Arabidopsis thaliana: one gene and its partner. The protein of the gene in region 2 purifies or fractionates together with the protein of the main gene of each other region. This does not show direct contact. Each region holds a gene or a part of one and is shown on either strand. Other genes may lie near its edges.

The links.
Region 1: the proteins of NYC1 (region 2) and CAB2 purify together in Arabidopsis thaliana (affinity purification with western blotting, with the first as the bait; one study listed by BioGRID). This does not show direct contact.

What each region holds. Positions count from the first base shown.
Region 1 is NC_003070.9:10,474,032-10,478,153, forward strand, and holds CAB2 (chlorophyll A/B-binding protein 2), read right to left. Parts: upstream 1,939-4,122; 5' UTR 1,862-1,938; coding exon 1,058-1,861; 3' UTR 625-1,057; downstream 1-624. Other genes in the region: CAB1 (chlorophyll A/B binding protein 1), read left to right, coding at 4,040-4,122.
Region 2 is NC_003075.7:7,683,439-7,688,635, forward strand, and holds NYC1 (NAD(P)-binding Rossmann-fold superfamily protein), read right to left. Parts: upstream 3,569-5,197; 5' UTR 3,254-3,568; coding exon 2,963-3,253; intron 2,871-2,962; coding exon 2,792-2,870; intron 2,706-2,791; coding exon 2,570-2,705; intron 2,478-2,569; coding exon 2,403-2,477; intron 2,308-2,402; coding exon 2,112-2,307; intron 2,022-2,111; coding exon 1,953-2,021; intron 1,867-1,952; coding exon 1,727-1,866; intron 1,654-1,726; coding exon 1,531-1,653; intron 1,455-1,530; coding exon 1,262-1,454; intron 1,168-1,261; coding exon 979-1,167; 3' UTR 796-978; downstream 1-795. UniProt on the Arabidopsis thaliana protein: Involved in chlorophyll b degradation. Belongs to the chlorophyll catabolic enzymes (CCEs).

The DNA of each region.
Region 1 (4,122 bases), on a different chromosome or scaffold from region 2:
TGTTAGAGGTTTAATTTGCAACAAACTATTCCTCAATCACTTTGATAGAAACTCTTTAAGCTATCATTCGTAGTTTACTGATTTTTTCATCACCCTAAATAATTTCGACAGTAAAAGTTTTTTACAAAACACAATTTTATTTTTACAATCACTAATTGCCCTCACACATGAATTCACCCACTCTTTGGAACGCAATTTCTAAGCTTTGGGGTGAAAATGAATAAACCTAGCTATATTCATGTTCTCCTGTTCTATTCTCTTGTTCTTTCGATACCACACACCAATGACACAGGCGCTAGCTCTTCTATGCTCCAAACATATATGTTATCATGTGTTCACCAATTATAGCTAGTGTGACAAGCGAACCTGGTCCACAGAGGATGTCACGGAAGGCAATCTCTCGCACGACAATGGATTTTAACTAATATGTAAGATATATGATCAGTCCATTCAATGCGTGGATGTGATTTTAATATGGTATCAGAGCAATGTGATATATTGTTATCCAGATATCGTATGAGCCAATGTTACGAGCTTCAGAATCAACCAAACACGGAAGAAACTACTTCATTATCTATTCTCTAATTCTCTCAATCAGAAGAAAAAAAACGATTGCAATTTCTTCTTCAATGCGATCATATTTTGTGAAGAGACGATATACAAGTTAAATCAAGGGAATATAAAAAACTTATATAAAAGACTCTTTCGTGTTGTTCAAGCTAACATCCGAGAATCACATTTTCTCTTGATTTGAAAAGAACATAATCTTTGTACCCATTGCCTTAATATGTTCAATCACGTTGCTCGATTGTAGAAATAGCCTCTACAACGGAGTGAACCCAAGAACTGAAAATCCAATTCAATTATAGTTCTACGAAACATATTTAGAGAACAATGAGTTATTTGATTAATGACAAATCATACAAAGTCTTTGCAAATTTACATCTGAAAGTCTCTACCATCCACCACAAACACAAACCTACTCTTTCTCCTCCTGTCTCTCACTCGAATTCAAAAGATTGAAAGAAAAGTAAATTACAAACAGATAGAACTTGGCTCACTTTCCGGGAACAAAGTTGGTGGCAAAGGCCCAAGCGTTGTTGTTGACTGGATCGGCCAAATGGTCAGCAAGGTTCTCTATCGGTCCCTTACCAGTGACGATGGCTTGAACGAAGAATCCAAACATAGAGAACATAGCCAATCTTCCGTTCTTGAGCTCCTTTACCTTCAACTCAGCGAAGGCCTCTGGGTCGGTAGCCAAACCCAATGGGTCGAAACTGCCACCGGGGTAAAGCAAGTCCTCGGCCTCTCCCAATGGCCCATTTCCTGCGACTCTGTAACCTTCAACGGCTCCCATCAAAATAACTTGTGTGGCCCAAATGGCCAAAATGCTCTGAGCGTGAACCAAGCTAGGGTTTCCCAAGTAATCGAGCCCTCCATCGCTGAAGATCTGTGAACCAGCCTTGAACCAAACTGCCTCTCCAAACTTGACTCCGTTCCTGGCCAAAAGCTCAGGGAAGACGCAGCCTAGGGCTCCGAGCATGGCCCACCTGCTGTGGATAACTTCTAGCTCACGGTTCCTTGCGAATGTCTCGGGGTCAGCGGATAGACCAGCTGTGTCCCATCCGTAGTCTCCAGGGAACTCTCCGGTAAGGTAGCTGGGTGACTCGCCAGAGAATGGACCCAAGTACTTGACTCGGTCGGATCCGTACCATGGGCTGCCTGATGGACCCTTTGGCTTGGCAACAGTCTTCCTCATTGTCACACGGCCGCTTCCAAGGACTTCTGATGCCGCAGGGGAAAGGTTCACAGCCTTTCCGGCGAAAGCAGGGGAGGAGAGAGCCATTGTTGAGGCGGCCATTGAAACTTTTTTGTGTTTTTTTTTTTTTTATGACTAACTTGTGAGTGAGAGTGATTAAAACTGGTTCGATAGTGTTGGATTATATAGGGATATTGTAACGTTTGTTATATCTGAAGTAATCTTTATCTGTTCATTCATTGGATTTTAAGATTTTTGTTTTATCGTTTAGTAGTCTTACGTGGCAATCTCTAGTCCACCAGCATTTGTTTTGATTTTTTCATTGCAGCCAAGCGTTTTGTGACCACAAGTTATGAGCCACTGAATACTTCAACGGTTACACTTACTTACACCCTCGTGACAAGAATGATTTTTGCTACAACCCAATAACTAAAACTTAAAGTATAACATTTTGAAAATATAGATTCTGATGATCGAAACATTAATATAAAGTAACATTATAAAAAGCATTTACCCACACATAAATATCAATATTTTCAATGGTAATTAGTTCATCATCACTACCAGTTTAATTTCAATTATGAATCGATTTCATCGTCACTTTATCCAATAACCAAAATAATCTCATGAATTATGTGATATCACCTTAAAACTTTGACGTTTTACTCTTTATCGAAGAAACACAACGATTAATGAAACACTGTTTTAACTTATCGACCATTTCTAAGAACATGAAAGAACTATATTAATTCATATGGCATGTTCATCATCATGGGTTTAGACTTTAGAGAACATATAGCTACTTTTTTTCTTATCATGATTCAAGTTATCTTTATTGTAAACTTCAACAACCTTTTGAACAAACTTATTTATTCGCTTTTTCCGAATTCATCAACAAATTACTCCTCAATCACACTCCTATAGAAAACGGTTTAAGCTATCATTACATGTCTAGTTGGTTTTACTCAGCCCTAGAAGTGTTGTTTATTGCATCACTTTCCACGAAGCACAATTTTTCTTTTTTACAATCACTAGACCTCACAGGCTCACACATATGCTTTAGAGCACATTCTAAACTTTGAACTATAAAAGCTGTTAACACTAATACACTATGCGTTCTTTTTTGCTCCAAACACTTTTGATCCATTATTAGGAGACACTCCACTTAGAAAGATTTTCTAATCCTTTGGTCAACTAGGAAGTTCAAGGTTTTTCTAAACAGAAATTCATTTCACAAGTAATTTAATTTATAAGGAAATGAATAGAGAAATCAAATCATTGAAGAACTACAAAATATAGATTCAAGGTCAGGTCTAAGAAAATATTCCTGAAGCTCAAAAAAGAGTTTTCCTCTCACATTATAGAATTGGCCTTTACTTCAACATTTTCCCACCTATTCCACATTTGGTCAGAACATTTTTAATTACTTGTGGATCAATTTCCGGTTGAAATGGGTTTGGTGAATATCCGGTTCAGTTATATGGTGGCCGTTGGAATTGGCTTATTAGTTGTGGCCGTTGTTGAAGCCGTTGGTATTGGTAAGGGAGAAGCAGACTTGTGGCTATGAGTCTATGACCATGACTCGTGATTATGGAGCTGTCTTATGACCCTGACCATCACCTTGATCTGGTGGATTCCAATGTTTTCTTCTTCTTCTAATAAAATATTATGGTCAATACAGGTGCTAATTAAGATGGTAATAATTTCTTATGTTTCTGTGGTAAAGTTTGATTCAATTCCGTAGTTTTAGATAATCTTATTTCCATACATAAATTTTATAGTTTTATCTACTTTGTTCTTATGTTTTATCTCTAGCCAAGAGTTATTATTATTATCAGAAGAAGAAAAAAAAAAGAAGCATATATACAAAAGGTTTAATAAAATGTATTATACAAGGCAATTATCCAAATTTTTTTTGTTTTGGTTTACATTGATGCTCTCAGGATTTCATAAGGATAGAGAGATCTATTCGTATACGTGTCACGTCATGAGTGGGTGTTTCGCCAATCCATGAAACGCACCTAGATATCTAAAACACATATCAATTGCGAATCTGCGAAGTGCGAGCCATTAACCACGTAAGCAAACAAACAATCTAAACCCCAAAAAAAATCTATGACTAGCCAATAGCAACCTCAGAGATTGATATTTCAAGATAAGACAGTATTTAGATTTCTGTATTATATATAGCGAAAATCGCATCAATACCAAACCACCCATTTCTTGGCTTACAACAACAAATCTTAAACGTTTTACTTTGTGCTGCACTACTCAACCTCAATGGCCGCCTCAACAATGGCTCTCTCCTCCCCTGCCTTCGCCGGTAAGGCCGTCAAGCTTTCCCCCGCGGCATCTGAAGTCCT
Region 2 (5,197 bases):
ACGGTTTAACCCAAATCCAGTTTTTAACTTAAATCCAAACTCGGCTACATGAACGATTTCTAATTTGATAGTAAGCCCTGGTAAAGCCCAAACTATGATAAGCCCAACAACGTCCGTAGCGGTGTGTGATGTTGAGCACCGTCAGATGTAACAGTGGACACGTGTCAGAATCTTAACGAGTGAGAAAACCCTAGCGCTCCATATTTATTTTCTGTATAAAAACCCAAAGAGAGAGAGAAGCTTATCATCTCTCAAGCTACAAATTGCTCTCGTAATCAAATCCTTATACTTTCTCCAACCCTTACTTTTGTTATTGTCGTATTACAAAATTGTTTTTTTTTTTCTTCCGGACAGTGACGATTGATATTTAAGGTCTCGTTCGTCGTAAAAACGGCCGTAAAAAGCCTATTTGCCGACCATTCTGTTATATCACCACCCATATTCTGAGTCCTACTTTTTGACTTTTGTTTTTCAATCTTTCTTCTAATCGATTTTTTTGGCCAATGATTTAATCAAAAAAATAGACAAGCATATGTCTGAATTAATCCTTGTTGATAAAATCTAATCTTCTCTATGAGGCCAAACAATCTTTGGTTTGTTTTTGTTTATTTGGAAAAAAGGGTCAAGTGATGATTAATAATGCATAGTTCAAATGATCTCCATGATTACTATTCAGTAGCACAGTCTTTCGCTCCTATCTGATGGCCCTCCACTTTTTTTATTGATGCAATGTTATTGGAGCTGTGTTTTTTTAACTCCGCTTAATGGGCCTTTAAAGGCCCAACTAGTGAAAACTAGAAAATACTACAATCTGATAAAAGTTTATTACAATCTATTTTTTCATTGTTTTCAACAACGACACATTCTACAACTATAAGAAGTGTTTACATGAACAAATCGGTTCTGTTATATATATGTTTTTTATACATAACATGTACGTTTACAATTTTCTTAAAACACATCCGAGGAAGATGTTTGTTATGTGCCTGGAAAAGAGCTAGGTGTTGTGCTTTGTAAGATGATGAAAGCGCAAACAACAGAAAGAGAGAAAACAGAGACCCAAGTATTCTCTGTATACATCTCCATCGCGTCTGTTAACGACAACCTCGTCCTGTTCTCTGCCCAGTTCCTTAGTCTATCTGCTTCTGCTGCATATAACGCCCGTCCCTGCAAACACGTACACATCTTTGCGTCAGCTCAGGCTTAACCAAGTGAAGGATTTGTCAAAAAACTTGAACTAGAACTCAAGTGTAACACTTACTTGGTCATCAAACCATCGGCCTCTCCTTAGCCAGGAAGTGACAATAGCTAACAATATCCGAGGAGGAGTTAGGTAATTGACGGCTTTTCCCGAACCTTTCACAACTCGCATTCGTGGTACCAAAGTTCTAGCTACTGTCTCAGGAAGCTCACAGATTATGTTAAACATCTGCTTGTTTTTAATGCTCGAACCACTGCCAAATAAATGGTTGCTTCAATAAAACTCCGGAGCATTCTGTTCTAGGCCTTAGTGACAAAGTGTATGCATACCTGAGAAGAAGTTCTGTCAGAACCATGCCAGGGGATGCAGTGTGAAGGCCAACGTTTGTTTTTTGGCTTTCTTTCACTATAGACCCATGAAACTGCCTAAGTCCACATTTTGTTGAACCATATCTGCGAAAGCTCACAGACTCAGAAATGTGTTCTAATTCATTAGAGACTAGTAACGAATGATTTGAGTTCTTACACGGCAGTGAGAGGAGTACTTGAACCTCCAGAGCCAGCACCATCCATGTTAAAGATGTGTCCACCACTGTGCTGTCTGCTCATCACATCCATAGCCCCTCGTGTACATAGAATTGATCCAATCAAATTTGTGGAGACAATCTACAAAATAATAGTTACAATTAGACTAATGAACTTCACCATAAGCTCAAGCTGAAATTAAGCTTTAGGTTCAAAAAGGATTTTACCTGTGTGATATCTTCTTCCGTGAACTCGAGTAGCGGTCTAAAACCTTTGTTAGTACCAGCATTGTTTATCTATCCAAATGAATATAGACAGTGAGCAAACATATGACTAAAGATACAAAAAAAGTTACAAACTGTACAAAAAGAAATATGTTTCTTTACCCATATGTTGATGGAACCAAGCTCTTTTACAGCGAAATTCGACAGCTTCTCAACGTCTTCGGGTTTGCAAACATCACAGGCAATACCAACTACCTTAGCATCACTCAGTTTCTTTCTAGCTGACTCGCTAGCGTTACTCATAATCTCTTTGAGATTTTGCTCTAGCTCTTTGACAGTCATATCAACAGATTCAGAACTGATTTCACAAACAAAAACCAAAAAACAAATCATATTAAGACTTCATTGCTTGATAAAAACTAATCCATAATTCCATATATACAATTTATCAACCTGCGAGATGTGACAATGACTCTGTCTCCAGAGAGAAGAAACTCTCTAGCAAGAGCTTTCCCTAGTCCCCTAGTGCTAAAACACAGCATAAAAACATACATCAGCATCAAACCAAAACACAAAGAAACAAAAATCAAAAAATGCAAAAACAAAAGTAAAGAAGGTACCTTCCGGTTATAACAACATTCCGTGGACCGGCTCGATAATGATCTTCCAAAACCATGTTAGCACCAGTCATGGTTCCAATGATAATTCCACCAAGCCAACTATACCAAACCAATGAGTTCATCGAACTATCTCCACCTTTCATCACAAATACATACACTCAAAATCTCAGTCAAACAAAATTACCAATAAAAAAACTCTTCTACAATAGTTTTTGCACTAACCTGATAATTGAAACCCAATCAAAAGAATAGCTCCAGTACTTGTCATCGTCACAATGTATCTCGCAATTTGAACAGCAACCTACAAAATCACAAACACATAAAAATTAAGCTAATCAAAGCAAAAAGATTGAAAATTTCATTAAGAAAAAAAGAGGAAACTTTAAGACTAACCGAAGAGAAAACCATCTCCAAGTTTTCAACTTTCTGATTATACTCATCTTTAGACAAGAACCCTAATTTACTAAACCCTAAAAACCCAGATTTCAAAGAATCCCACGACCCATTTCCCTTAAATTTCTCAACTTTTCTCTTTCTTTCAACTTTTTTCTCACACCGATGCACATAAACCCTATTACTACGTTCTCTACAAGTCAATCTTGACCCGACCCGTATCGGATCTCTGAAGAAGAGACGGTGCTCCAAGACTTGTGGGTACACTTGAATCTTCGTTAAAGTAGTCATAGCTATGGAAGAAGAGTGAGATAATGATAAGCTTTGAAACTCATACAAAAAGATAACTTAGAAAACAAGATAAACGAAGGAGCTTTTTTAGGGACCCAAAAGATAGATTGTTAGATATTTTTCAGCTTCGGATTCGTCGAAGACGTTAAATAGAGTGATCGGAGGAAGAAGAAGGAGATTAGGACGAAGAAAGAAAGAGGTGAGGGAAAGAAAGAAGGAAGAGAAGTGTGATGGCCACACGTTACAGCAACCTCATCTCGTTAGCCTAACATTGACACGTGTCATTTTGTGTTTCTTTTGTCCCTTCGCATGTTTTCAAGATATTTTTTTCTCTCTTTGGGAGCTACTTTAGATTTTGGTTCACATGAACAAAATTTTGATTCAGTTTTGCTTCTAGAAAGCCAAAATTTGATTTCAAATTACATTTTACTCAGACTTCGTCATTACTTATGTACCTGAGTAAATTATTGTAGTATCCATTGTCACATTTGAGTAGATGATAGAGATTATTGTCAAACTACCACTTACTTATTTATATTATTTTAGAACAATAAAAAATTATAAATTAAAAATTTAATATCAAACAAAGAAAAGTTGATAATGTTTGTGTTTATGATAATTTTCTCCTTTGTGTAAACTTTAAGCTTTTTGTCTCTACCAACTCAATAAATTTATAGTCCCTGTACAAATTTTAAAAATTAATCTTTTTCTAAACTATAAAACAAAAATTTGGACCCTTTTTATGCTAATTTTTTAAAAACACATTAAAATTGACATTTTCATACTAAAAAAAAAAAAATTGTAGGTCTTTTCCATACTAATCAGATCCTTAAATTTACCAAAAAAAATTTGGATCTAGAACAAATGCGCCTCATGCACCTCCAAAGAGCCGGTCTGCTTTACGTGAGACCCAAATATCAGTAAACCTATTAAAAGTCCAACTTCCCTAATAACGAAAACCTAAACGTGAAAGTATGTGGACGTGTACATATGTATATATGCGTTTATATATTTTTCCTCAGTAGCTGAATTTTATGTGTTTTATATGCTCGAAAACATGGAAATAAACATGATTAGATCATGAAGATCATTGAACCCCTACGATCCCTTGAATGTCCAACTTTTGTCTCTTATTGATCACTTACTATTTACTTGCTTCACTTACTTACAACTGTGACACAATAACAACCCTTTCCCCCTCTTTTATTGATTTGTCCTAGTTTTACTCTCTTCTGACAGACTTGTTTGAATTACTTCTCTTCCAATGGAATTCGATCCATAAATACTATGTTGGATACAAACCAAAGGTCCCACATCGAAAGTTTAGAAAAAGAGTTTCTAATATATAAGCCAAGTCCAACTCCAACTAGTATGAGGCCTTTTGGGAAGGAACCCAATAACAAATCTTTGTGGGCTTGAGCATATAAGCCCAAAGAGGACAATATCATACTAAATGAGAGTTGGAATGGGCTTTGAAAGCCCATTAAATGGTATCAGAGCCAGGTTGAAACACTGGACCTAGGGCTTGGGCTATGATCGATGTGGGAAAATCTCTCAAACATGACACGATAAGAAGGTGCCTCAAGAAGGAGGTCCAAGTTCGTGGTCTTTGGTTTGAAGGGGAGATTGTTGGGTACAAACCAAAGGTCCCACATCGAAAGTTTAGAAAAAGAGTTTCTAATATATAAGCCAAGTCCAACTCCAACTAGTATGAGACCTTTTGGGAAGGAACCCAATAACAAATCCTTGCGGGCTTGAGCATATAAGCCCAAAGAGGACAATATCATACTAAATGAGAGTTGGAATGGGTTTAGAAAGCCCATTATACTACAGACGATTAACTGTGCACTTCCAGTAGTCGTGTTGTCAAAATTTGACTAAAGCAAAATAAAACATGCATGTTGGTGTGTCCTTACCAGATATGTTACACTCCTATTTCCCTTT